Linked DNA regions of Drosophila melanogaster. The protein of the gene in region 4 interacts with the protein of the main gene of each other region in a pairwise test. Each region holds a gene or a part of one and is shown on either strand. Other genes may lie near its edges.

What was found.
Region 1: the proteins of crn (region 4) and EloA interact in a two-hybrid assay, tested with the Drosophila melanogaster proteins (one large-scale study listed by BioGRID).
Region 2: the proteins of crn (region 4) and CG6290 interact in a two-hybrid assay, tested with the Drosophila melanogaster proteins (one large-scale study listed by BioGRID).
Region 3: the proteins of crn (region 4) and CG12768 interact in a two-hybrid assay, tested with the Drosophila melanogaster proteins (one large-scale study listed by BioGRID).

The regions. Positions count from the first base shown.
Region 1 is NT_033777.3:23,248,736-23,257,348, forward strand, and holds EloA (elongin A), read left to right. Parts: upstream 1-2,827; 5' UTR 2,828-3,141; coding exon 3,142-3,222; intron 3,223-3,513; coding exon 3,514-4,101; intron 4,102-4,156; coding exon 4,157-4,534; intron 4,535-4,589; coding exon 4,590-4,807; intron 4,808-4,865; coding exon 4,866-4,960; intron 4,961-5,017; coding exon 5,018-5,217; intron 5,218-5,282; coding exon 5,283-5,574; intron 5,575-5,633; coding exon 5,634-5,713; 3' UTR 5,714-6,336; downstream 6,337-8,613. Other genes in the region: Rad60, read right to left, coding at 857-947, 1,006-1,228, 1,288-1,466, 1,522-1,628, 1,692-1,805, 1,865-2,367, 2,432-2,489; wda (will decrease acetylation), read right to left, coding at 6,759-6,888, 6,966-7,312, 7,373-7,673, 7,751-8,613. UniProt on the Drosophila melanogaster protein: SIII, also known as elongin, is a general transcription elongation factor that increases the RNA polymerase II transcription elongation past template-encoded arresting sites.
Region 2 is NC_004354.4:18,434,365-18,440,081, forward strand, and holds CG6290 (uncharacterized protein), read left to right. Parts: upstream 1-3,125; 5' UTR 3,126-3,139; coding exon 3,140-3,787; 3' UTR 3,788-3,869; downstream 3,870-5,717. Other genes in the region: CG32548 (uncharacterized protein), read right to left, coding at 1,499-2,437; CG32551 (uncharacterized protein), read left to right, coding at 4,532-4,846; CG43841 (uncharacterized protein), read left to right, coding at 5,330-5,398, 5,452-5,610.
Region 3 is NT_037436.4:22,907,051-22,914,693, forward strand, and holds the start of CG12768 (uncharacterized protein), read left to right. Parts: upstream 1-3,440; 5' UTR 3,441-3,522; intron 3,523-3,782; exon of another isoform or gene 3,783-4,101; intron 4,102-4,539; exon of another isoform or gene 4,540-4,705; intron 4,706-4,783; 5' UTR 4,784-4,875; coding exon 4,876-5,183; intron 5,184-6,213; coding exon 6,214-7,195; 3' UTR 7,196-7,249; exon of another isoform or gene 7,250-7,643.
Region 4 is NC_004354.4:2,245,339-2,252,668, reverse strand, and holds crn (crooked neck), read left to right. Parts: upstream 1-2,685; 5' UTR 2,686-2,805; coding exon 2,806-2,841; intron 2,842-2,899; coding exon 2,900-4,972; 3' UTR 4,973-5,075; downstream 5,076-7,330. Other genes in the region: CG3091 (uncharacterized protein), read left to right, coding at 4-73; CG3191 (uncharacterized protein), read left to right, coding at 832-997, 1,315-1,474, 1,575-1,656, 1,720-2,022, 2,089-2,225, 2,282-2,363; Or2a (odorant receptor 2a), read right to left, coding at 5,175-5,225, 5,296-6,438. UniProt on the Drosophila melanogaster protein: May be involved in pre-mRNA splicing process. Involved in embryonic neurogenesis and cell rearrangement during Malpighian tubule morphogenesis.

The DNA.
Region 1 (8,613 bases), on a different chromosome or scaffold from region 4:
CACACAACGAGCGTCGGAATTGGGGTTAAACAAATTGGAAAACAAACGGAGTTCAATAACAATGAGTTTCATGCGATTGAAAATTACTTTTTTGGTTTTCTTTGTTTTACAGAAAAAGCGCGAATTAAATGTTGCGTCCATCAAGCACGAAGGATAAACTCTTTCTGATTGAAAAGTAAGCGAAATGAGGAAATTCCCTTCAGCTGGCGAGAGCTTTTCCCATTAGAGCTTTCCTCTCTCAGTTGCTCTCAGTTGAGAGAGATTATTATCCTGCGTGTGTCAGAATTTGTGCAGTGAAATTCCAAGGAAAGCCGCACAAGAATAAGGAACAGAGAGCAACGAGAGAGCGAGAGAGAGAGAGAGCAAAGCCGGTGGAAGGAGGCAACTACTGAACCCACCACAAACCATCCCCCTCAGCAGCATCCGCTCTCCTCCTGCCAATATAAACAACCATTTGGGATCTGTTTCCAGCTCTGTGTGAGTGCGCTATATGCTAGATAAACAAAATATTAGGGGTGTATAATGAATGCTTGAGGGTTTTTTGGAAGTTGCCCGCTGCTCCACTTGGTGACAAATTGCTGAAATCTAGTCGAAGTGCGAATACGCTTTTGTTGTTTTTGTACGCAATGTAATGGAATTTTGTGACTGCAATGTAGAAAAACAAATAATATATTCCTTAAATCATCCCAAATGAAACAAATAAAAGTACAAAGAAAATTAGAAATATTCAATCATACATAGAAACATTTGATAATAAAATAAATCTTGCACAGCAATTAACTAATCGTAAACAAAACATTAATATAATTTCTTTTAAAAATATTTTTCGGCTAGAATAGATAAATTTGCTCAAAATTTAAGCCTTTATTTTAAGATCTATAACTTCGTTGCCCTCCATATCCTGGTTATTGGGCGTATCATTTGGATCCAACAAGTCACCGTCAAAACTGAAATCACCTCAAATTCAGTGGATTGTCTCTACTTTTTCCAGCTTTTAGTACTTACAACAATTTAATGGTTCGGGGATCACAGTTCAACTCCTCAGCACACTTAATAAATATGATTTTGAAATTATCAGTTTTCTTCATGGGTATCACCAAAGGATGCTTCCATTTATCCGCCTGTACTTTAACTTGAAACTTCTTAGGTTTCCGGCAAAGAGCTTCTGGATTGTAGTCAATTTTAGCAGCCACGTTGTTATTATTGTGACTCTTTGTTGGATGGCCAGCTGTTAAATAGTTGAGAAATTTTCAAATAATAATATATATCTGAATAGAGGACACCTACTGAGCGTATGAAATGATTTGAGACCAATGCTGTGCGGCGTATCCTCAGGTCCAACGAAGTTATAGTACATATCCACCGTTATATCATTCTCATCTATCCCATTGCGTGATGCTAACTCCTTGAACAGATGCTTAAACTTTTGGTGCTGCCGCAATTTATAAATCTGGATCTCGCCAAGCCTGCATAAAAATATTTATATTAATCACGAAAAAGGATAAATATATTAAAACTTACCACGACAAAGCTACTTCTATTGTGGGATTATCGTTATCAAAAATATTTTCTTCCTCTACGACAGGAGGAGCCTCCTTTTCACCCTCGTCTTCAGAGTCTAGATTAACCTGTGAAGAAATAAGTATAATATTAGCCTTATTGAATAGTACAACTTCTTTCTAGGGACTTACAAATCCCTCCACTCGGGGAGCGACCGCAGATACCAGATCAATACTGTCCACCACTTTGGAACGGGCTGCAACTTCGGCCAACGTCCACCGTCTGCTAATGTGCTCATTGTTCTGCTACAAATATGAAGAGATTAGAAAATACCCAAGATCTCTATTCGAAATTTCAAACATACACCTACAATGCTTGGCAATGAGACCTCCATCGAAGCAGAGTTGCTGGTTGTGGTTGTTAGAGATGTTCTCTTTTTTTGGCCGCGCTTCTTTGGTTTCGTCTGTGTGGGCACCTCCACAGTCGGTGAAACAGGTGGTGGCGCCATTTCTGACCTATTTAACGATGACCGTGTGCGTCTGGCCACAGGACCAACGTCATTTTCTTTGGCGTGCTTCTCCACATCCGATTGCTGGCCATTTTTCTTTTCCATCTCCAATATCAACAGGGATACCGGTGATAGGGAGCGCTCTGTTCTCATATCCTCTTCTGGCTCCACAGCCTTATGTTCTGCCTGTTTTGGTGGCGAAGCATCATCCTGACTTTTGGGTGGATTTTTCCGCGTCGCTGCAGGGTTCTTTCGTTTGCCAGTTTTAGTTGATTTCTTGGGGAGGTCTTCAATGAAATCGTAGTCCACCTCCTTGGAGAAGGAATCATTGCCAAGATTGTAAGGATTCTTGGGCAAAGCTGATAAAGACGACAAAAGCGAAGGTATGTGGAAAAACTTGGATTTCTGCAGTTTAAAGCTAACCTATTTCGGGAATCCGCTTGCGAGCAGCACTGAATATATCGCAGTCGTCGTCGGACATCGTGGGCACTCAGTAACAGTCAGTAATAAACCAATAACGGCGCCAAACAATAAACACAAACACAAAACCAAATAGACGCCACAGTGGTTGCAAGGAAAATCGATATCCGATAACTACTGTGACCAGGGTAGCCACACGACACGAGACCACGATCAAAGTATTTGCTGGTAGTCAAATGTAATTTACAATTCGATTTTATTTAATGTGTGTATCGATGATTTGGACATGTTAATTATTTGTATTATCACGATTGAATTCACTAAATGTTTGTACAAGCCTACTGTGACGTAGAGCAACTCTGGCCGACAGCTGTTTGGCCAGTGTTGACAAGCGCCACGCCGTCAAAAGCAAATCTCATTTAGTTTCCAACGCTGCTGGCCTGGCAAAAGCAAAAATCGAATGTATTATAATAAAGGCCCGTAATGCTATTGAAAATAACTTAGAGCCTCGCGACCAGAGGCTTTTCCGCGTGTGTGTGTGCACTTGTGCGTGTGCGTGTGTTTGCCCTTGGGTGCGTGTGTGTTTACCTGGATTCCCTAAAAAAAAATCAGTAAACTGAAAGTGAGAAAAAGAAAACGGGAAGAGACGACAAAGTCTGCCTGCGTGCCATTTTTTTCATTTCATTTTGCGTGGAATACTTTGAGACGACGCGATGGCCTCCACCAGCAATCTGCTGGACGTGGTGCGCCACTACCAGCGCAGCATTGAGAAGCACGGCGAGGACGAACAACGGGTGAGCTATTACCCTCATTGGCACCGCCATCGCATCCCTTTTGATCCACTGCTTACTGCCTTCCTATCATTCAAGTCCCCCATTTTCCTAACCATTTAATCACCCCTATGTACCTGACCTGGCTGGCTTTCCCTTACTTAACCTTGTGAAATTCGCAAACATATGTACCTCCGCCAAGGTCACTTTTCTCGACTTTAAGTCGCTCTTCTTTTCCGCTGACCTTTCACTCACACGGTCTTTTGCTAATCTTTCTTAATCACCTCTTTCGCTACCTGCTCTCCCGTCGAGCAGCTGCTGCACTGCATCACCAAGCTGTTCAACCTGCCGATCAAATTCGAGCACCTGCAGGAAACGGGAATTGGCAAGACGGTGAATGCCCTGCGCAAGATCAGCGGGGAAGTTGGCGTGGCGGCCAAGACGCTGGTAACCAAGTGGAAGGCAATGGTGGCGAAGGAGGACCCTTCGATCGCATCTACGCCTACAGCCATACATAACGAAGAGGACTCGGGCAAGACCAAGTCCAGCGACGAGGATCCCGACCAGGAGAACAAGGGCGGCAACTCATCCAGCGGCGAGGACTTGAACACCAGCAAGCACAAGTCAAAGCATGCCAAGAGCACCAAGCATGAGCGTAGCAGCAGCAGCCGATCTCACTCCAAGAGTAGGTCTGACTCGGATAAGAAGCACAAGAGCTCTCGCCACGATAAATCCAAGGATAGAGATAAAGATCGGGAGGGTCAGAAGGAAGCTAAGGAGCACAAAGAAAAGAAGTCAAATGGCGAGCACAAGTCAAAGGATTCCAGCAAATCCAGCAGCAGTCACAAGAGCAGCAAATCCGAGAGCCACAAGAGCGAACACACCAAAAGCAAGCACGAAAAGGTATGCTTTCCTCTTGATCAAAAGTGGTTATTGTTCTTATGCATTTTTTTTTCAGGACAAAACTTCTCACAGTGAATTAAAGGAAGTCAAAGACAAGTCGAGCAAACACAAATCATCGTCCTCCAAGTCATCAAAGCGCTCCCATAGTCCCCCACGCCACGAGGAGGAGTCCCAAAAAGCAAAGATACCAAAAGTTAAATCGAAATCTGAGGAAGATTCCGCTGATGGTTTTGACTCCAGCATGGGCGCAAATTTTGACGATGTTCTTGGTCTGCTAAACATACCCATAAGTAGCAAGAAGAGCAGCAGCAACAGCAAGAGCAAGTTTGTCGCCAAGCCAACTGCAGCCCCTTCCTCGTCAGCTCTATCAGCACCTACGACTGCTGGGTCATCTAAAGAGGCACTCTCAACTAGCAGTCGACCGACCTCCAAAGTAATTAGTAGAAATTCATTTTTATAAGTTGTGGTAACATATGTTTATTCTTTAGAAACCCGAACTGTTGGCATCCACAGCTAAGCTGGAGCCCTTGGATCCAAACATTGCACTAGAACTTCCCACCATATCCAATAACTACAAGCCCATGCCATTAAATCAGACAGTTATGGACGTCGTCTTTAACCAGGGTGGCTCACACAAGGCGCAAGCATCACGATACTTTAATGAGTCAGAAGCTCTAGCGCAGGGCATCTCTTCCAAAACTATGCGGTGAGCTAGGATATTATAATGTGATGCACAAAGTATATCAACTTTTTATACTTTGTAGCACCAAGATCTATTCGGGTGTGAGAACTGGTCAAATCCTGCAGGTCCCTTCCCTTTTTGATCTCTGCACCCGCGTGCTGCAAAAGAATATTGATGGTAAGATCTTACTAATGGTCATATCGAATGTAAATAACCATCTTAATTGTTTTTCAGCATTGGAGTATACGGGTGGCGTTCCGTTTGAGGTCCTACGTCCCGTTTTGGAGCGAGCTACCCCCCAGCAGCTGCTTAACTTTGAGGAGTACAATCCTTATTTAATGGATGACAGTGATGTCCTATGGCAACAGCATGTCCAACGTCACTGTCGCAGTCAGCGGCGTGAAGAGATGGAAACGTGGCGCGAAATGTTTTTGGTAGGGACGCAAAGACCCTAAATTAATGCAAACTAAACTAAGCTGACACAAAAATTTCGTTCTAGCGCTGCCAAGAGGAAAAGGATCGCAAACTTAGCATTCTGGCCGAGAGCATCAAGGCATCGCAAAAGATAAGCGAGGCGCCTGTGCGCAAGACGCAATTGGCCTTTGTGGACTCAATGGTGAAGCCGCCGCGTAGTGTGCAGCGCAAGCAAGAGCAATATGGCACCAAGGGCAAGCTAATTGCCACTCCAGCCGCCCGAGTGGCCGCCTTGTCCAGCGTGACTCCAAATGCAGCCAAGGTGGGCGATGCCCGACTACGTGTGCTGGCCGCTGCCAGGGACACGGCCCAAGTGGGTAAGTATTGTAATGATTGTGGTTAAGAATTAAATTTACCTATAATTTTTATTGAAAAGGGGCTGGACCAGCGCGATCGAAGAAGGCACCTCTAATGGCGAAGACCTTGCAGTTTATGCGCGGACGTCTCAAACGATAGATGCGCTTACTCATTATAGCTACAATCTTATACTCAACTTCTTCAGCGACAACTTAAGCAGCAGCAGTAGCAGCAACCTCGATCTATTAGGCATTCACGGTGGGATTACCTTCCAACTTTATTGGCAAAGACTTTCAGGTCTGAATAAAGTGACATTGTGATACTAGACCTTCTACTTCCCAGTGCGCTGTGGAATCAGACTGCTGCTGTCGGCATGCGTAGCATATGCATGCTATTTATTATTTATTCATGTTCTGCCCTCTTTTATTACGCTGTATAAGTCACTATATTTAAGCCAACCGGATAAAGATAAAGCTTTTGTTGCATCCCGCTGGGTCGTAGACAAGCTCATTTACATAAGTTATGATATTTGATTATAGTTGTTCAATTCATTGATTGCATGTAACTTACGATCAGAAGGCTGATCACTCCAACATTATTTAAAAATTAAGTTCAATGTTCTTTGTTCAAAAGGGCTGTGCGTATGTCCAAAATCATAGAGGTTCCAAGCTGTATATAAATGTATTTACACAATCCTAAACCTATATGAAACTACCTAAATTATTGAAGAACAGTAAAATGTCTCTTAATGCATCGCTAATTAAATTCAACCAAAAAATTCTATATTACCTTTAGATTTATTTAGTTTTGCACATTTTTAGGTATTGGGTAAAATGTTAATATATTAAAAAAAATCACTTCAACAATTGAAATTCGATTCGAATGCTCGTCTTATTTTTAATAGTTACACATTTTTCAACTTTTGTGGAAATTGGCCACTCATTACTTATGCCATGACTTCGTTTTGAAAGACATTCTTTAGCTGTGACCAGTAGACGATGCAGGTAAAGGCATTACACTGTAACCAACTCGTTTTATTCCACAAGAAAGCTACCAGGATTGTTAAATCAAAAGAATTATTTATATAAAGAATTGTTTCACACGATAGTAACAATAATATACAACTTATTACAAAATAAATTATTTTCAAACATAAGTCGTCACTAGAAAGTCTAAATTCGGGCTGAACTTTCAACCGTCTTCTTTAAGTGCCGATGCAGTAGAGCGTCTTGCTGGTCCCGTAAAAAACATCGACCAAGCGCTGGCAGGAACTATTGACAGTAAGCACACGATTCGTTGTAGCTGATGATGAGCTTCCAGCACTACTGTTGTCACTGTGGAGCAACCAAAATAAATCATCATTACCAATATTAACAAATTGCTCCGTTTCCATTCCACAAATATAACTAACCTCATGGGCGATAGTTTCTTGATGTCCCACAATCGCAAGGTACCATCGCTGCACGCTGTGGCCAGGTGCCTATTGTGCGTGCTCCAGGAAAGAGAACTAATGCTCGCCGAGTGATCCTTGAGCTCAGCCAGCTGTGCTCCGGCGGCCAAGTCGAATATACGCACCTTCGTTTCCTCTCCGGCGGCAGCCAACATCTTTCCATCTGGGCTAAACGCCAGCTGGGTCACCGCCTGACGGCAGTCGGCAAAGACACGCATCAATTTTCCGCTGGTTGCACACCACAGGCGAACGGAGTGATCTGCCGATCCTGTGGCTATGTAGTTGCCATTCGGATGGAACGCAACGCACTGTCAGAAAAAAAAAATATATATAACTAAAAGTTCAAAGACATTTTTGGTTAAACCAACCTCAACATCCTGTGTATGCCCGGCATAAATTATGAGCGCATGTTCCTTCTCTAGCGACCAGAGGCGCGCACTCAAATCCTTGGAACCCGTTACCACGTATTGGCCCACTGGACTTTCGTCCAAGCACCAAATTGGGTAGTTGTGACTTCTGTATATGGCGGCGCAATGCAGGTTGTGGGCACGCCAGCACCGCATGGTTGCGTCTTTGGACACACTATACATGAGTGGGTAGTGGGCGGAGAAGCGCACATCGGTGACTCCTTTTGTGTGACCTCGCAGCTGAAATCCGCCGTATTCGTTGCTAATTAGAAAAAAAAAACTTTAGTTGATTAAAAATTGAAAAATAAAACCAATACTAAACCTGGAAGATGAACTTACTAGGAGTTATCAGCATATTTGCAATGTCGCGCCCTGTTGCGTTCCCGTCTCTCCTCCTCAGAGCACTTGACATCCTCATCGCTGCTGTCCTCATCCGTCTCCTCCTCTTGATTCGCGCAATTGTTCAGCTCCCAGGGACACCGCTTTTGCGGATAGCGTCTGTAGAAGCTCTTGCCGCGGCAGTAGCTCTGGTTTAACTGCCACAGCTGTACGGCAGAATTGTCGAACCCGGCTAACATGTGGCACTCACTGGGATCCAGATGGGCGGAGGTGAGGCCCCGAGAACGTTCACTGATTCTGAGAAATCGCGGCAACTCCACCTGAGACTTGAGTATCTGTTCAGTGGCCGATTTAAGGGTGTCCAAGCAGGCGTCTATATTCAGTTGTAATTTACTAAGCTCTGCAGATTCATCCGTTTCTACCTCCTGTTTGATGTCTGTTTCTAGCATAATGTTTGGCTCCTCAGCGGGTCGTTTTCGGTTCGACTTTTCAGTGAGGGATTTGCTTGGTCTTATGTCTCCGCGGGTATTAAGGGTTACTGCTGGTTTGGAAACAACATCGTCCTCTCCATCCTCACCTTCCAGGTCATCCGTCAAGCCAAGCAGGTGATCCTCACTAAAGGCGCGCTGCTCATTCTCCACTATATGGACATGCAACCAGGTGTAGAGTAGGTTCATAATTAAAACGTGGCCCCGTCGTTGGAGATAAGCGCATATCCTATTAACAACTACGGCTGTAGTATGTAGTTCGTATTTCGAAGATCGAAAATGGGCCACTGTGTCATCGGACTCTGCTGCCTCCAGCCGTGTGTAGCCACTCAGGGTTTGCACCAGGCGCATAAAGTAGTCCAGTTCCGTGTCCCC
Region 2 (5,717 bases), about 16 Mb from region 4:
TATCAAAATGAAGATTGTGAAACCTAACATTTCTGTACTCCTATTATTTACATATGTATTACTTAATGAAATAATTTCAACCACATACTTGAAACTTACGCTGGGGGAGTCATGTATACCCTTACATACCCTCTTATTAGATTAAGTTATGTTAGAATACACATGGCGCTAAGCTTTTTGTCTGAGCTTAGCTTTATTTTTAGTCAGTAGACAAGAAGACCTCGATCTGTACACATCATTGAATAAACCCTCAATTTGTTAAGCGAAACCTTTCGTTTTGTTTTAACCCCTCTTTAATCGACAAAGAAGTCGATGGGTGCTTAACTGAGGAGTTCAATCCTTCAACCTACAGACGACAACGAAGTCGTTTCTGGAGGCAACGATCTTTTGGACACAACGGTCTCTGCTCGGAAGGCCCTATCAACCTTCCACATAACTATATATGTATGAAATCTTTGAAACTTGGACTTAAAATAACTAACAGGTCTAACCTTCAGTTTGCCAATTAAATTTGGTTATTTTTAGTTACTCATATATAGTAGATGTATTCAATTAAGTTAATCCACGGCTTCTCGCAGTGCAGATATGGATATTGAAATGGATGCACACGTGGCCACTCAAAGGATTCGGGGCTCATCATGTATGTTTGGACTGCGCTTCGCTGTGGCCAGTTGAGTCCAACCCCCACCACCCATCCAGTGACCTCGTTCCCATCAGCATCATCCTCGTCCCAATTAGCCGCCGGCCAACCAGGGCAATTGTCTCCGTTCATTGATGCACCACTCGGCGGTGCAAGTGGTGGTGGACTCGAGCAGAGGATGTCCATTCCCATGGATGTCTAATAATACCCCAACAATCGAAGTCCGTCGCCGTTGCGACTGCGACTGGCTGCTCGGATAAATGGATCCGCCAGTGGGATGTACGATGGCATGGGACGGATTATATTAACTCTATAAACAGATTCAATGGCAGCAATTGTGTGCCAATGCGAAGGCGGTCCGTTCAAAGCAATATTAATGCATTTATTGCACGTGAGCTCGGCGGCGTGTTAAAGATGAGCGTTGCCGATTAGGAATGACCCATCATTAGCCATGATGAATCTGGTAAGTGGGGCCAGTTAACTGACCAGCTAGATTCCACGGAGCACGTGCCGATGGTTTATTAGTAATGAAATGCTGTTGGGTCATATAGGATGGATTTGGGCTAATTAAGCAACTAACTAGAGTACATAACTCGAGGCCAGAAGTGCACATTCAAACTCTTCTTCAGGCAAATCTAACCCTCGTAACTTCGTAAGCCATAATCACCATTTGATAAGCCTGAAATGCATCCACCCCTCTAAAAACCAACAATTATCATCACTTACAAAATTTATTCTTGCTTGCCCTAAACAATTCCTCTTATCAAATACCACGAAAATTTACGCAAAAAAAAAGGTGTGTGAAAAAAAAATGAAAATACTAGTTTTGGAAGTCCTTGGAATAACAGCTCATCATCATTAGAAGCTGTAGTTGAGATTGCCGCTTGAGAAGCTCACATGAGAGACGTCCGGCGATTGCTGGTAGGTGGGGGATCCCAGCACGGAGGACATGGGAACGGCCATCCCATAGCTCTGGCGGGTGGTGGGCGCCAACTGGCTGGTGGCGAACTGATGGGCCACCGACTGCTGCTGGTCACGGAGCACGTCCTGCTGCTGCTGCTGCATGAAGCCCATGTGCTGTTGCGTGGAGTAGAAGTCTCCACTTGCTCCCCCTCCCAGACTGTTGGAGCGCAAAGGCGCTGATCCGATCACTCCTCCCGGGATGACTCCAACTGGACCTCCTCTTACTGGACCTCCGGGCACAATGGATCCGGATGCAAGGCGCTCGGGCTGCAGGCCATTGTTGCTGAACTGCGGCCGACGGTAGGCGAAGCGGCCAGCTGCGTTCTGTGCTGCCACGCCCGCCGGAGCGCCTCCCACATCGGCGGGAGCAGCTATCTGGGGGGTTTGGGGTTGAATCTGATGAGCCGGTGATGTTAGGCCGCCGGATACATCGGGATAGTAGTGGTAGAGCTTCTGCAGCAGGTGCTGCTGCTGCTGCTCGAACTCGGCTCGTTGGCGCTGATAATCGAGGAAGGCGGCGTGCATCTGGTCCGCATAGCTGGGCATGTTGACCACGCCACCGCTAACGCCCACTCCTGGTCCGGATGCAGCTGCTACCTGCGGCGATGTGGCGGCCAGGAGTTGCTGCTGCTGCTGCGCCAGGAGCTGCTGTTGCTGCTGTTGCTGCTGTTGCTGCTGTTGCTGCTGTTGCTGCTGTTGCTGCTGTTGCTGCTGCTGGAGCAGCGAGTTGGGCGTGACCTTCAGCTTACCATCGGCCCGGAATCCTGGCTGCGAGTACACGGCAGGATACTGCTGTCCCGACGGCGAGAATCCACCAAATTGCGTGGGAGTTTGCTGCATAGGTTAGAGGAATAAACGGATGAGAATGGAAGCTAAACCAGGACAATTTTATCCTTATTCTGAACTGGCTTAAATGATATTTAGATGAGTGTCTAATGTGCGCAAGTAGTAGGCCGTTTTCGATGTGTAACTTTTGATTTCGTTTTGTAAAATATTCATACAATTGAGCTTATAACACGCTTTCCTTTACTCACGGATGAAAGGCCACGCCCGTGATTCTTGATAATTGAGTGCTGGGAACCCAGGCATCCCTTTCCCCACTGTCCCTCCGCGTCAGCCAATCGACTGGCGTTGCCCCCACGAACTTTGCTGGATCTCATGATTCCCTGTTGTTCCGTTTGTCGCGATGTAAACTTAAAAGTTTTGACGAGAGGTTGTGTAGCTCGAGTGTGGATAGCCAAAAATTGATTTTCAAATTCAGATTTTGATACAATTTGTTTACGAAGTCTGTAGCGGGAAAAATTGTAAAACGAACCGATCTGAACCGACTGAGCGAGCAAGTGATACTGACTGGATAGCTCAACCAGTCCGGTGACACCTGACAGCTGTCGTCGGGCCAATCCGAAAGCCTACTGTGATCTCTACTAGCCATCGGTGCCATGGTGTGGATTCAAATCGATATGTATCGAAGGGAATCACGCGATTCGATGGCTTAAAAAGCGCGGATGCAATGCCGCAACCTTACAGTTAGAAACGATGAATCGCCATCAGCTGGCACTTCTCCTGGTTGTCGCGGGTCTGGCCATGATTGCGGCCAGGCCAGGTCCACAGAATCCGCTAGAGTCGCTGGGCATGGGCGCCATGTCTCTGGCCGGAAATATAGCGGAGGCAGTTCAGAGTGGCGCCGCCATCTCCCGCGACGTCGACATTGACAATCCCCTGATGTCCGTGCACTCGAAAACGGCCGTTGGCTATGGAGATGCCATACGTCCCATTGCCACCGATTCATCCGAGGAGGATCGTCGTCGGAAGCGAAGGCGGCGGAGCCTGCATCGCCTCAAACGCGCTCCTTGCTTCTGGAAAATGAGCGCTGCCGCCACCACAGCGGCGTCCGCCGACGATGACGTGGAGGCCAGACGGAGACGAGCTCAAAAGCGGGCCGCCAACAATGCCTCCCGATCCCGAGTGAGTCCCAAGACCACTGGCAAAAAGAACAAGAAGTTGGTGCGACGACGACGGCAGGAGGAGAAGGGCATGGAAGTGACACAGAATATGGACGGAGCGGATCCCTTGGGCCTGGGCACCAGAATCAAGGCCATGTGGCTTTCGTTTGTGAACAACGTAGCGGATGTGGTGCAGCAGGTGCGCCAGAAGATCACCGAAACGGCCAACTCCACGGCGTAGAATCACCGAGCTCCCTGACGACCACCATCGAGTGTATTTTTTTTGTTTGTTTATAAGTGCAATAAAATCAACTGAAAACCGGAAACTGTGTTGAGCGGCATGTTTTCTGGGTTGGCCAAAAACATTACGATTACGTCTTCATTCAAATATGTACTATAGATTACATCCATTTTAAGACCCCATCATATTATCAATGTAGTAGCCAATTAAGGCCAATCACCTTTGGTAAAAGGTGACCCCAAACGGCATTAGAGTCAAAAAAAACGTGTACTCCGTCTTTAAACTACAAATGCTTGTGAGCTCAACTAAACATATCACCAAGGTGACCCAAAACTTGGAATCCGGTTACCATTTTAAAGTGGCATACCTTTAAGAACTCAACCTTATTTGTTGCTCTTTAAAAAGGTCACCGCCGAAGAGTCACCCCCAATCGATAAAGATTCCTCAGGCAGAGGCAATAAAGCAAAAAGCGAACTGTCATTTCTGAGCAATCCGATCGAAAGTGGTCCGAGGAGAAGGCCATTGGGGTCACCACAGCAACTCGACTACTGAAGGCTGTCCAGATGGGAGATACGGAAACGAGCCGAGTCACGATGAGCCAACGGTCAGTGGGCACTTCCGGGCCAGATGAGATGCATCTCGACATGCATTTCGAACATTTCCGTGTCTGGTCGAAATCTGATTGAATTAAAAAGGCTGGGTACAAAAGGCGCATTCAGGTGGCTGGGCACAACAGTTGGCCAAATGATTTCCGGACCCAGATTCTCTGCCCTACTAATCGTGGCCCTGACCCTCGCTCTGGTGGCCCAAACTTGGGCCGACGAGTTCGATCTGGACTACTCCAACGAGTACGACGATGTGCGACCGCATTTGGTCTATCCCGACGATCCAAGGCTGGACAAGCGGATCGGCGATGCGGCGCGGGAGTTTGGACAAAATATAACCCAAGCCTGGAACGCGATGGTGGACTCGTTTAAGAACTACTTTGAGGAACTCAAGAACCTTTTCTCCGACACCACGGATCTCGATTCACCCAATGAAGTATTTTCTAACCGCTGAAATGGGCGTTTTACTTTCGTTTCGAGCAAATAAAGCGTAGCAAAGAATTTAAAACATTCATTTGATTTGGGAAATATCATCCGTTGAAAGCCAACTTGATTGCTTTTGATTTAGGTACATTTCCAAGCGGGTATTTATAATTATTTTTTGAATACTACAAAATGACAATACTAAGTAATATGGTATACATCTGCGGATGATAACCAATTAGGCACTGAATGATTCGGCTTAAAATGCTTTTCCAACCAACAAAAATGAGATTTTTTCATCTCTGGTTTAATTAGATCTGTAAGCCACTAAGCTAATTGCCAATAACAACCTCGCATGCTAACTAAACCAGATGCTAGATGTTGCATCTAGATTATGTAAACATGAAAACATATCTGTTTTTCGCGTAATTAAGCAGAATAACTAGAAAGTGACAGGTTAAATAGCTGGCTTTCTTCTTGGCAATCAATTATTGGGAAGTGAAGCCATCACAGGATGACATCGCCTATTTTAATCCTGAGTCTAGGTCTGCTCCATTGGAGCATTTCGCCCGTCTGGTCACAGGTAAGATACTTCGTACTCGTATCGTATATCCTTGATACCCAAATTCCCTGCAGAATATGCCCACTGATGTGATGGACGCCGTCGATCAAATGCAGGAGATCTTCGAAAACAATATGCAGGGCCCACAAAGTTCGGAGTATGGTGACGGGACATTCAATGGAACGCCCTTTCTACCCGAACAAGCATCGAACATCCAAAACTTTGGCGGTTAATTTCAATTCGAATTCCAATTCATAGTACTACTCTAAAGCAACGCCATGTGGCTAAATATTAAATTAAATTGAAGAGTGTGTCCGCAACTTTTTCCCTCGTATAATTG
Region 3 (7,643 bases), on a different chromosome or scaffold from region 4:
CCTTTTGGTTCCATTAAAAATCCATTTAAAGAAATATCTTCATCGTCTTGCGCTGGCTAATCTACACTGGACTGGTGAGACATACCATTGACGCTTAGCCAAATGAATCGGAAAACACAGGAGCCCGTTTGCAATAATGCTCTTTATGCTGGTTTATATACCCCGTACTCGTGGTGTATACTTGGTTCGTTGAAAAAAATGTAACAGTTATGTATAATTAGGAATGCAAATTTTCTTGACGCCTATGTGGTGTAAGCTTCTTTCCAACTGGTATAACAGATACCTTTCTTTCTTTTCTCTCTTGTTATTTTTTAAGGTTCGTATAAATAAATAAAAAATAAATACTCCATCGCTCTACCTCATAAACATAAATTCTCCAACCCACCCCGGGGTTTTCGACATTCAGTTAATAGACACCTAATAATGCAGACTAAAAATAAAGAAAACACAAACAAGGAAACCCTACAATAAACCATTTTTAAAAATCAAGAATCAACTTAAGAACAACAACTATACTCTACTATGAATAGATGGGTCTCGAAACAAGGAAATAGTAGAATTTGCAATAACTACAAAAGGCGAGACACTGAAACAAGCTGTCCTCCCAAGATACTCCTTATTATTCTCATCGGAAGTCATCGCCATCTTAGAAGCAATAAAAATAACGTTAAAAAAAGAATAGAGGGAAAAGATGCATATGCTCCCACTCCATGTTCACAATAGAAGCAATTAATAAGATAAACAATACACCATTCTATAACGATCAGCATTAAACATGTTCCTAAATTCAAAATTCTATGGATGTCCAGTCATATCGGCATCAAAGACAATGCAACAACCCTATTAACCGTCAGAAATTATAATGGCACCGATATAAATATTTATAAAAAAAAGGCCAACATGACAAAACCAATTAGATTAGGAATTCATCTCCCTGATACCTACCAATCTATAACCCCAAATTATCGAAAACATTACCGATGATACCAAACACTGTAAAAACTATTATGTACCCAGAAGAGAAGAGAAGAAAAGAGATATCACAAAAATCGTGAGGCTACGTAGGACACACCAGACTGACCCATGAGCATCGATTCTCCCAGCCAATCAACCGTCAATGCAATACGTACCGAAATCAATTTCCCACATCCTAGACGATTGCATCGCCCTCCAAACACATGGATCCAGAAAACCAGAATTCAAACCAAAATGCTGTGGCACAAAGATCAAACATAATACTACCAAAATTGCTTCACTTGGGTGAAAAGTGAATCCTCGAACATATCTGGGATATCGATAGATATTGGGGAATAAAAGGAGGACAATTTAAAAATTGTGACCGTTTTGGTCGATTTGTAGGTTTTAGGGCGTTAGAGTGGGCGTGGCAAAAGGTTTTTTAGCAAATCAATAGAAATTTTCAAGACTAATAAAATTATATAGGCATGGCTGTTTTGTACGTTAGGGTTTTAGAGTGGGCGTGGCAAAAATCGATACTCGAAAATATACTTTATATGGTTGGAAACGCTTCATTCTGCCTATTACATACTTTTCAACGAATCTAGTATACCCTTTTACTCTACGAGTAACGAGTATAATTATCTTAATATATCTTAATATCTCCTTTATAAAGGTGTTAATTTTGTGCACAAAAAGTGGGTAAATTTCCCATAGTGCAATGGAAACACCATTAAAGCGTCGTGTAAAAAAGTTGGTCAATTTTTTCTAATGGTTTGTACTGTTCCGGGATGGCACAACAACTTGGAATCACATTTATAAGTTTTTTTTGTGAATTGAAAAACTAAACTTAAATCGCAAATACATATATCAATAGAACAATATGAATGTTCTTACTACGTAAAATAATAGGCAATTTTCCCTGGCCCCTAACGGAACCGAAGTCGCCCTACTCAGCTGATTTTATCCCAATCTGACACGCCCGTGACATGCTGTTGCCTATCCGAAAATATTTGTGTACCACGGATTACATTGCAGTAATGGATTTAATTTAAGCTGTGGACCGCGTTCGACTCAACTGCAGATTCATCAGCGCCGAGAACGCATACTGATAAGTCGAATCAGAATCAGACAAAGCGGTATGCTGCGTTCTGCTGAAAAAGGAAAGGGAGAGCGAAAACACGGATGGCTGTGTTGGTGCGATTGATAAATACGAGTTCATTCTTAAAGCTTATTTTTTAGATGACCAAGCGGGAGACAACAACGAGTAAACAAGAGCAACAGCAACAGCGGGCAATAAAGTTGATTGCAGCAGTGGCAAATTGAATATTTGCCAGCGCGCGTGTGTGTGTGCGCAGCCTTTTTGTTTGTGCTTGTTCGCATTGTTAAATATCCGCACCAGCAGTGCAGCCAAATGGGATGATAGATGCCGAATGCCGAATGGCGCGCGAGCAGAGCGAGTGGCTACCATTGTTAATCCGCAGTTCGTCCTCTGTGCCCCTTGCCTCCTCCCTCGCTCATTCCTGTGCCACAGCTCAGCTTGCTACCAAAACTCGACCTCGACTTCATCCCTTGCTCTCTCGGAACTCTCATGCTCAAGCTGTTGCTTCAGCTACAGCTCAGCGTACAATTGTTGCTTTGCGGAGACTGCGCTCATTGCCGGGTGCTGCCAATCCTGGGTGCAATCCGTTCATTATTTATCCGGCTGGTGGTAAGCAAATAGCGCTCACAAGCCACTTAGTGCTATCACTCTTGGATTAATCACTGGGCACGGCTCGGCGATAACGTGTCACTGCCACAAACGGAACCGCAACGGCGATAAATATTTTTCACAGCGAAAATAACACTGCCTAACAAAGTTTGAAACACTGTGACTAGAACATTTCCAAACTTCAGCTATTTCTTCAGCTATCAGTTATATATTTTAGAATAGATAAACAGAATATATATAATGCCATTTATGTAATGATTTCGATGAATAGATAGATGGCTAATATTTTACCGGTACTCCACCAAGGTGTTTTAAAGAAGACGGCTTTAAAGGTTTCCTATAATATACATTTTTTTATTAAATTTCATTTTATTTATTTTAAAATGCGTCCCGTTTGAGTGGAGGATATGTCTAATATAGTCCTAAATAGATACCAAGTAAATATCTTTTCGTATCACTCCACACACACACAAAAAGTTGAGTTTATAATTACATTATTCACGCAGCCCTCTAGGCTCCCTCACTATGCCAATTTCTTTTGTTGTGTAGTGTAATAGCATAGGATTGGCAGCCTCCGATTGTTTACACCAGCGTAGGCGGCACTGCAACAACAACAATAGCATCCTCTGCTCTCATTCTCTCTCCCGTGCTTTGCGCTCTGGAGCGGAGCAGAAAAGAAAAGCGCCATTCGCTCACTTTCTCTCCGGCTCTCTTTGTGCTGCTGCGCCAATTTGCAAGAAAACTAAGTTGGTTTGCTGTGCAGTTGTGACAATCGTCGAGGAGAGCAGCGGCGCACTCTCTAAAAGGAAGCTGCCAAGCCAACGAACGGCCAAGCGAGAGGTGACAAGTGAAAAGTGGCAAGTGGATGTACCAAATAGTGACAGGTTCACTAGTAGTAATCGCAAGTTAGCTGCCCGTTTGGCTGCAGATTTTCGTCAAAGTTCGCTATTCGTGTTGTTTTTTGATGTTTTCGTCTCTCTCGGCTGTCCGCATAGGCAATGTGTGTATACATATACGCGATTTCACACTGACAACAGGGCCGGGCGCGTGTATGAGTGTGGTTATTTTGCCGTGTTGCCGAACATCTGTATCTGTATCTGAATCTGTGGCAGCCAATAGTTGTGGCAAGGCCCTCGAGCAACTCGCAACACAACACATAACAACAGCATCCCCAATAAGTGGCAGCAACTACGCCGCATGGCAAAGCACCAACGGCCGCATTTGTTGTTAATTGAAATAAATTGAAATAAATTCCCCGACTTTGCTGCTCATATTGTTAATAAAGAGAAGCCGGAGCGACGCAACAGCGAATCAGCAGCAGTAAACAAAACTGTGAGCAAAAGGTTTTAGTTCCATTCCAGGCGTCAGACGACTTTGAGTACAAGCGACAAACAACCAGAACATCTAAGGAATTCCGAGCGAACAATGTGAATAATGTTGGTATCACAAGCAATTGGTGGCAATAACCAAAAAGAGCACATGCGTTTATTTATAGACCCCAGTGTGTTCCCATTAGTGAGTGTGTGGCGTGCTGTGCACTGCAAATGAGTTCAAGCTGCAGCCAAAGAGAAGGAGGCGTCCTACCAATACCAATCCTTGTGTAGTCTTGTTCCCTCCACAATCAGATCGGTCGCAGACCAACAGTAGCAGCTGAAATTCCTCGATCGGCACACGAAATCGTATGTAAATACTTTCCTGCCGAGTCAGCCTCTCAGAATGCCAATGTTTACAGTATTCGATTATTGTTTAACTAACAGCCTCTTATGGGAAAGTGGAATACATACATTAATTGATGGGGGAGGTGGGGGTTGGGGTTTGTAGGGTCTGCTATAAGCAGATTTCCCGTATTTGATTTGTCCCCTCTGTTGTCTCAGTTTCAGTGGGACCCATACTCCCGAAAATCAATTGTATTTAACTGTGCGTATGCGATTTCGAAAACAAAAACACCCCTCCTGCTGGGGTCATTGCACCCAAGGTGCGTGGGTGCGTGTGTCAACACTTTTGAACCCCTAAGCACCCACCCGAGAAATACGCCGAAAAGTATGCAACGAACATGGCGACCATCAGCACAAGCAACTTTAACGATTTTCTCACCTCATTTCTATACTTACTTTGCAGCGCAGCATCCGGCGACACAGGACATGCGCAGTGGCCTTTTTGGTAGTTGCATTTCGGCCAACAGCGACTGAAAGAGCAGAGAGCGGAGGAGCATGGCCTTTTCCCGCCACAACATCGAGAAGCGCCGACTCATCGAGCTCGTGCGACTCAACCCAATCCTCTGGGACTGCCGCCTGCCACACTACAAGCGTTCGGACAAGCGAAAAGCCATCAAATGGAACGAGTTGGGGCGGCTCTTCAACGTTAATGGCGAGCGGGTGCAGCGCACGTTTACTTCGCTCCGCGAGATCTTCCGCCGCGAGCTGAACCACGAAAAGATGCTGGGCACCACGCGCTTCAAGTCCAAGTGGGAATACTACGATGCCATGGCCTTCCTCAAGGAGGTCATTCGGGAACGCAAGTAAGACGACGTTTGACCTGCCCTAAAATACTACCTTATGATATATGTAGATCCCGTTTAAGGGATTTTGGACATTCCAGTTATTTGTTCTAGTGTCTTTGGAAAAAGGGTTTACTAAATTCGTTGAAAAGTGTGTAACAGGTAAAAGGAAGCGTTTTCGACCATATAAGGTACATATATATATTTCTGAACAGGATCAATAGCCAAGCCTCGAGCTCAGGAACTATAAAATACCACACTTTTGAAAAATGTTTTCATTTTTCTTGGTTTCATTTTTTTTATCTTACCGATATACCAAAAACACTTTGGCTACGCCTCTTCTGAAAAATTCAAACCGCTCACAACAATTTTAATTCCCCAATATCTATCGACAAGCAAGGAAAATTATAGAATTTCGCGTTCGCACTAGCTGAGTAACGGGTATGTGATAGTCGGGTTTTCGACTACAGCAATTGTGTTCCGATTATAATCACTGAAAAAGTTGTTTGAGCAAATTCGGAGAGAGGTGACCGCGAAATAATCACCGTCACTTAAAAGCCTAAACATATTTACATATTCAACATTTAGATTTTGATTTTACGCGATTTTTAAGTTTTTATTGTTATAAGAAGAATGATTAGTGTAAGGGATTGGGAATATAAATGTCGAGATAGTTCTCAAAATAATACGCAAGTCACCTTCCTCGGTTACAATAAATTTACATTGATTTTACTGAAATCAAATCAAATAAAAACTAGTTAAAGAAAATAACTGTTGTCTACCGAATAAGAACAATGACGCAGATAAGAATATAAATGTCTAGATAATTCACAAGGATTGTGTGCAAGTCAAATCTAAATTTAAGCATTTAGGAAGGGTATACATAGAAATTCTATTAAAACTTTGAATTTGTTTCATGTGGTCGGTCCAGAACTGACCAACAGGCAAGAATGAAATGCATGCCTGCGGATCTGCATCATAGCACCTATCTGCTAACCTTGAGGCAAGCACCCGCTTTCCAAAAAAGCTAATTACAACTTTTGCTTTTTAGATCTCGCGAGCGCATCAAGCACGGCTCTTTGGATTCAGCACCAGTAGCCACAGGCAGCAGCAACAATAACAACAACTGCGTAAGCCGCAATAGCAGCAACAACAACAGCAGCAGTGCGGCCCTAGACGAATATCAGTACTTTGCTCCTAGCGACCCCAACAACCCGAACAATCAGCCCCAGCTGCAGCCCGAACCAAAGAGTAGTCTGCCAGTGACTATTCCCAGTCTAAGTCTCACCCTCAGCCAGTTGCCGGTGGCTCTGCAGCAGCAGGCCCAGCATCTCCAAGCCTTACAGTTGCAACCGGACGTGACGCTGACTTCCCTGCAGAAACAATCTTTACCCACTTCCCTTACCAATGCCACACCCGCGCCCTTAGCACAAACCTCGCCCGCCCAGGTGCTGTCCAGCTCGCGCTCATGCAGCTCTTCGCCCTCCATCTATATAAAGGACGAGCCGTGTTCTCCGGCAGGGGGTTGTCCGGAAGAAGTGATGACCGGAAATGGACCAGAGGCGACAAGGAAGAAGCTGGCCACAATTCGTCCGCAGACCAAACAGCAACTTAAAGCGCGTCTGCAGCTGCCCACGCCCAAAAACTCATCATCGTACGCTACGTCGCCGCCCCATTTGATCATCAATGCCAACAACGAGCTTATTGACACCGACGCCGGGGACCTGGAGGAGGATCTGGACGACTTCGACGAGGACGACGACGTGACCGGACGCTGCTCACCAATCGTCGGCCAGTCGGAGACGATGGGTGCCGACGGCAGACTTTCGGTCGGAAGCATTTATATCGGTGACGGTGGCGACTGCGGAAGGGGTATGGGTAGAGCCCACACTCAGGCGCGACACGTGCCTACCTCCAGAGAACTGCTCTACATGAAATTCGGTGACTTTCTGGCCGCCAGATTGAACACTTTGCATGAGACTGTAGCTAATGAGCTGATGAACAAGATGCTTCTGCTAATTGCAGAGAAGTGAGAAAAGCGGGGACCGATGTCGCCTCTAAAATTATTGAATTTAGAGTTGCGTAAGGTAAGTGCATTCAAATATGGAAATGCCATCTTACACAATCAGCTATCAAATAAAAGCGTGTAAGTAAGATTGCCTCGGCAAGCTGATGCTTTACAAATTACGGATGACTACCGAATAAGAAAAGAACACTTTGATTTCTTTTCTATGATTTGCAAATAATTTTTTGACTTCGCCTACTGCAGCTATATTATAAAGTCGTCCGATTTCGATCAAGTTATACCAATATATTGTTAAAAATATGGATCATACCGAAAACTAAGGGAAGTACAGTTGTGTATTTCAAAAGCTCATATTGTGGCTATGTAATATAGTTGTCCAATCCCGTTCCAACTGAAATACAAACTGGCAATAGAAGGACTTACATCTGGTTTTAAAGTTTAATATAACAAACTCA
Region 4 (7,330 bases):
TAGGGCTTATCTCAGCGACGAGCGGTACTGGAAGGTGGCCGCTCAGAGCAAGAGTCGGTGGTCCTGGTTCTGATATCCTGATCATCGAACGTGATATAAACATAAATGTGATCAAGCATCGCGTCTTGCCAAGCGAAGATATCGATTAGTTGGGAAAGTCCCAGAAACACTTACAGGTTCTAGAGCTCAGTGAAGCTGGCCCTCCATTAAGAATTCTTATTTTCATATTTTATTATTTTCTTACCAATTTCTCTATTATCAAATAAGGGGCTATTGTCGATTGATTGACAGCAATGGGAACAATATACTTGACAAAACAATAAATTATATTAATTACATTTTATGAGGTTTTATTACACCCAAAAGCCAGGTGGCTTTCAATGTTCTTCTATGATTACAAAAAACAAACGCTTCTTAGAAAAATTGCCCATCCCGCGAATTATCAATTAAAGTGAAAATTGTGTCACTACTTGCGATGGCATTGGGATGCGGCACACGACCAGGTGATTAGGCAGATCCAGAAGCTGGAACGGAACATATTTAGGCACTATTAAGCGTCGTCCAAACGATGGCCGAAAAGCCATTAAAAAATTACGTGGCTTTAATTGCCAACGCAGTAGCATTGAATATTCAAAAACTAAATCGATGAGCGAAATCGATGCGCAACTGTCAGTCAGTCGGCTGCCAGGCGTCAAGCCCAAAGGTTTAAAAGTGATTCGAAAGCGTTTTTGAAAGTGATTCGAAAGCGATTGCTGCGTCCGATAGCCGATAGCAGACCAACCTGGCGGAGGGAACAGCGACGGAGCAATCGATACCCAGGCCACAGCACCAATGAGCCGCATAGGTGTGAGAGAGACTGGGGCGAGCGGTACGTCCGAGCAGCTGCAGCGGGAACAGGATAGCGACACATCGGAACAGGCGGTGCGGAAGCAGGAACGGGATCTCAAGGAGCTCCTCGAGTGGTTCCGGCAAAATGACAAGCTGCCCAAGGAGATTGGTAAGCGATGAGCCCGAAAACCGTGCGGGAATCCAACATCCGTTCACTGCCCATCAGTCCCATTCCACCTCCCACCACCCACCGTCCATTAATTAGGTCGTTAGTAGGCCGCTCCGCTCGCCGCCTTACGTCACTGTAGTCAATTGTATACAAACAGTGAATGTACAGGCAAGTCTCCCTAAATCGAACCGCACTTCCCAATTCAATATGTCCAACACGATGTTTGAATTAATTAATATTCCCGTAATGTGCAAAGTTCCATGGGCTTAACTCCTTAGCAAAAACTTCATTGTATCGTACCATATGTGTATTAACAGATCCGCTGCTGCTCCGGCGCTTCTACCAGTGCATGTTTGGAGACGTGGAGGAGACTCGGAAGCTCATCGAGGTGAACTACGCCCTGCGCAACCGGCACCCTCACCTGTTTATCAAGAGGGATCCTCTAGACGCGGACAGCAAGCGCACCTTTGACTACGCGTAAGTGTGTCCTTATTGGGAGAAAAGATTCCCTTTCCTTTGAGGCAGGGCCATGTTCCAAAAACATACATACCCGTATACCCCAACACTCGAATTTCAGAGACATTCTACCGCTGCCTGGCCTAACGCCGGACAAATGCAAGGTGTCGCTGTACTGCTTTCGGGAGTTCGAGGCCTCCAAGGTGAGTAATAGCTTCTCTTTGCTGTAGGAACTTGCGCTCCATACCGCCGATTGCTATCCCCAGATGCACCACACGGAGGACACGCGCGCCTTCTTTATGGTCAGCGACTGCCGGTTCGTGACGCCGGACGATCTCGCCAAACCGGATGTCCTGTCCGAAGGAGAGGTGCAGATATTCGACATGAAGGGCACCACAATGCGGCACATTTCGCGGCTGACGATCAGCACGCTGCGCGCCTACATCAAGTTCCTCCAGCTGGCATTTCCGGTGCGCCTGCGCGCCATTCACATGATTAACTGTCCAACTTACCTGGATCGGATCGTCAGCGTGGTGAAGCCGTTCATCAGCGACGAGGTCTTCAAGCTGGTGGGTTTCTTGAGAAGCCATTATGTCTCTAATAGCTTCATCTCACCATTACTTTCTACACTTTAGATCCGTTTCCACACGCAAAGCATAAATACGCTGTACGAGTTCGTGCCGCGGGAGATGCTGCCGGAGGAGTACGGCGGAGGAGCCGGGTCCTTAGAAGCACTGCGGACCCATACCCAAAAGGCCTTGGTTGAGCATCGGTGGGTTTCGATCTGCATGTTATAGTTATTCAGTAACGCCTCGTTGCCTTTTGTAGCGACTATCTGATGGACCCCGATCACTGGGTGGTGGTGAAGCCGGAGAAGCGGAACGAGAGTTCGTGGAGATTTTTCAAATGATTACCTAGAACATCTTCCACGGTAGCAAGGAGTCTCCTTCAACTGAAGACGGTTAAAAGTGTTTCAAGTGTATTGGGATAAACAGTTCCTGTGGCTTTTCATCTCTTAAATATCCATTTTTTTTTTAAATTTGTGTTGAAATTGCTCAAAAATAAATAAGTAAAAAATGCGTTATCCGTTTTATTTTTAACCCAACAATGTACAATTATTATACTAGTATATATTTATGGAAATACAACAAAAAAAGGGATTTAATTGAAACACACATTCAAAAGTAGAATGCGCAAAAGGCCAGTGGAGACAAAAAGCGATTATCGATAGCGAACTATCGAAATATGCCTATCGTTATCGCACGACGTTGTTAGTGGCATTATTTATTTTGTTGCGATTTAGCGTTTTTCCAACATAACATTGCTAAGTGAGGGACCCCGAATCGCACAGCATGGAGCGGCCACAGAAGATGCCCAAGGTGGCCAAGGTATGTGCCATCGTCGGCAATCCACCAAACCAACTTATCCAATCCAAAATTTCACCAGGTCAAAAACAAAGCGCCGGCGGAGGTGCAAATTACGGCGGAGCAGTTGCTCCGTGAGGCCAAGGAGCGAGATCTGGAGATTCTGCCGCCGCCGCCAAAGCAGAAGATCTCCGATCCCGCCGAGTTGGCAGACTATCAGCAGCGGAAGCGAAAGACCTTCGAGGACAATCTCCGCAAGAACCGCATGGTAGTCAGCCATTGGATCAAATATGCTCAGTGGGAGGAGCAGCAGCAGGAGATCCAGCGGGCGCGCTCTATCTGGGAGCGGGCGTTGGACAATGAGCACCGGAACGTGACCCTCTGGCTGAAATACGCCGAGATGGAGATGAAGAACAAGCAGGTGAATCATGCTCGCAATCTGTGGGATCGGGCAGTGACCATCATGCCGCGAGTCAACCAGTTCTGGTACAAGTACACCTACATGGAGGAGATGCTGGAGAATGTGGCAGGGGCGCGACAGGTGTTCGAGCGCTGGATGGAGTGGCAACCGGAGGAGCAGGCCTGGCAGACCTACGTCAACTTCGAGCTGCGCTACAAGGAGATCGACCGGGCACGGGAGATCTACGAGCGATTTGTCTATGTGCACCCGGACGTGAAGAACTGGATAAAGTTCGCCCGCTTTGAGGAGTCTCATGGGTTTATCCACGGCTCTCGGCGGGTATTTGAGCGCGCTGTGGAGTTCTTTGGTGACGACTACATCGAGGAGCGCCTGTTCATCGCCTTTGCACGTTTCGAGGAGGGTCAAAAGGAGCACGACAGGGCGCGCATCATCTACAAGTACGCTTTAGATCACCTACCTAAAGATCGCACACAGGAGCTGTTCAAGGCCTATACGAAACACGAGAAAAAGTACGGCGACAGAGCGGGTATTGAGGATGTGATTGTTTCCAAGCGCAAGTACCAGTACGAGCAGGAGGTGGCCGCCAATCCCACCAACTACGATGCCTGGTTCGACTATTTGCGCTTGATTGAGGCTGAGGGCGATCGGGATCAGATCCGTGAGACGTACGAACGGGCCATTTCCAACGTGCCGCCTGCCAATGAAAAGAACTTCTGGCGACGCTACATTTACCTTTGGATCAATTATGCTTTGTACGAGGAGCTTGAAGCGGAGGACGCGGAACGCACGCGGCAGATCTACAAGACCTGTCTGGAGCTAATACCTCACAAGCAGTTCACCTTCAGCAAGCTTTGGCTGCTGTACGCCCAATTCGAGATCCGCTGCAAGGAGCTGCAGCGAGCACGCAAAGCTCTGGGCTTGGCCATCGGCATGTGTCCCAGAGATAAGCTCTTCAGAGGCTATATTGATCTGGAGATTCAGTTGCGTGAGTTCGAGCGCTGCCGCATGCTGTACGAGAAGTTCCTGGAGTTTGGACCGGAGAATTGTGTCACTTGGATGAAGTTTGCCGAGCTGGAGAATCTGTTGGGCGACACGGACCGGGCGAGAGCCATTTTCGAGCTGGCGGTGCAGCAGCCGCGCCTGGACATGCCAGAGCTGCTGTGGAAGGCGTACATCGACTTCGAGGTAGCCCTAGGCGAAACAGAGCTAGCCAGACAGCTTTACGAGCGACTCCTTGAGCGGACGCAGCATGTGAAAGTGTGGATGTCGTTTGCCAAGTTCGAGATGGGCCTCAGCCACGGCGACAGCGGGCCAGATGCGGAGCTGAACGTGCAGCTGGCAAGGAGAATCTATGAGCGAGCCAACGAGATGTTGCGTCAGCTGGGAGACAAGGAGTCGCGTGTTCTGTTGCTAGAGGCATGGCGCGACTTTGAACGCGACGCCTCCGATTCGCAGGAGATGCAAAAGGTAATGGACAAGATGCCGCGGCGCATCAAGAAGCGGCAAAAGATCGTCTCGGACAATGGCGTCGAGGAAGGTTGGGAGGAGGTATTCGACTACATCTTTCCCGAGGACGAAATGGCTCGACCCAATCTCAAGTTGCTGGCTGCAGCTAAGATGTGGAAGACACAAAAAGACAACACGGTGGACGACCCGCCCGCTACAGCTATTGCATCTGAGCCAGAACCTGCAGCTGATGCTGCCCCAGCGGATACGACGGATAGCGGTGACTGATTCACTTCCGCCTAAAAATCGTTGCTTTTGAACAAAGCTAAATATCTGAAATTGCAGATTTTTCGCTTTATTTTTGGATACCTTAGTAATAAACCACTTAAATAAAAAACTATAATGATCTTTTTTTTTGTTATATTATCTGATATATTTTTCTGCTATTGTGCTTTAAAATTTTTCTCCCCAAAAAGAGATTATAAAGTTCTTACTTGGCCCTCAGCAAGAGTGTGAAAACAGAGTATGTGAACCTCATGACCTGGAATCAAGTGAATCATATCATATTTGAATCAAATCAAAGGACATTTGAATATATAATTGTGCCTTGCCTGCTCGAAGGTCTCCAGCGAGAGTGCGATGTAGTTGCCTGCGTAGATAAGAGAAGGCCGCTGCGTCCTGGCCAGGGTGAAGAGCAGTTCGCGCTTGAACTTGGGCAGCTGTTCTATCCAGTTGCAATCGTAGAAGGCATCGCACAGCGCCTCGCTCTGTGTCCGCATCCTGTCCCCAAAATAGCAGATTACAAACACCTCCAAGGTGACGGCCGAGAAAAATACAATCGAGATGATCATGGCGGTGTGGTCGTGGTCATCCGCTACGTACAGGAAGTGCATGGCGACGGTACACTGGACGGCGGCGGAGCAGACGAACTGGGCCATGCAGGGCACTGAAAGGACCCGCTGAATGATCTCCCTCAGCCGATGGACCCGCGCCAGATCGCGGATGCACTCGATGAGTTCCTGGTACACCTCCTCCCGCCAGGCTTCATATGTCTGCCCTTTATTGGACTTTTCCGTCCTGCAGCCAATCCGCCGCACCCTCAGCTCCAAAGCACGCATATGACCCGTGAGCAGGCAGAGAAACGCAGGCGGATAGGAGTCACTAGCGCAGTTCTGTATAGCCTGCACTATCAAGCCGAAGAGCTGGTAGATATTGATGAGCACATAGTTTCTGGTGGAGTGCATCCAGTCAACGCCGAACCAGGCCGGATACAGGAGCTCTCGATCCGGGCGAACGACCACGCGGACGCAACTCAAAGTAGTGCCAAATACGAAAATACTGGCAAAGGTGCGGAAAGTGCCCTGTGCGATATTCACTTCCTTCCTCAAGGCAGAAATCTCCTCGGGATCGCCCACCAGCCGGGCTCTAGCGTCCATGAGCCTTAGGAGAGAGCGAATCTCATGGAGCTGCTTCCTCACCATGTACACATTCGCAAACTTCAAATTGGCCACAATATCGGTAATAGTTATGGTCAGGTTCTCGCACAATCCGGCCATGTTGGTGGTGAACAGCAGCCTGGCCAGCAAGCTCAAGGGAAACAGCACGGTGACCACCAAGTTGACCGTAATGGAGTATACCACGTAAAGCAGGCTTGAAACGCCCGGAGGACGCATCAGGCCAGTGAGCTCCCAAACGCGCCAGTGGTAGTACACAGCACTGTGGGTGTTCAGTTTGAAATCCTCTTGCTTCTCCATTGTCTCGGTTACCTTTGGGCAAATCCATGGGTTCTATTGCCTATATACTCTTGCGATTACCAGTGATTGCGCTATTAGCTATTAGATGGATTGTTGGCCAAACTTGTCGCTTAAGTGGCTGGGAATTGTAACCGTAGGCCCGAGTGTAATGATCCCCCATAAAAAGTTTTCGCAATGCCTTTATTTTTTGTTGCAAATCTCTCTTTATTCTGCGGTATTCTTCATTATTGCGGGGATGGGGAAAGTGTTTATATAGAAGCAACTTACGATTGAACCCAAATGCACCTGACAAGCAAGGTCAAAGGGCCAGATTTTTAAATATATTATTTAGTCTTAGGACTCTCTATTTGCAATTAAATTACTTTGCTACCTGAGGGTTAAATATTCCCCATTGATAATAATAATTCCACTATATGTTCAATTGGGTTTCACCGCGCTTAGTTACATGACGAGCCCTAACGAGCCGTCGGTGGTCTATAAACTGTGCCTTACAAATACTTGTAACTCTTCTCGTTTTGAAGTCAGCAGAGTTATTGCTAATTGCTAATTGCTAATTGCTTTTAACTGATTTCTTCGAAATTGGTGCTATGTTTATGGCGCTATTAACAAGTATGAATGTCAGGTTTAACCAGGGGATGCTTAATTGTGTTCTCAACTTCAAAGGCAGAAATGTTTACTCTTGACCATGGGTTTAGGTATAATGTTAACTGGTTGGGAGATTGGTGCTATACTAGAGTTTTTACGTTGGGTCCCCTAGGCTCTACTATTCCGCTAAGTGGGGCTGCTTTGGCGTTACTTGTCAGGTGGATCCGGTCATGAAGATCAAGAGCGTGATTAATCTACAAGTCGGTAAAGAGAACAGCGGAATTGGGTCAGGGACGGGGTTGGGTGG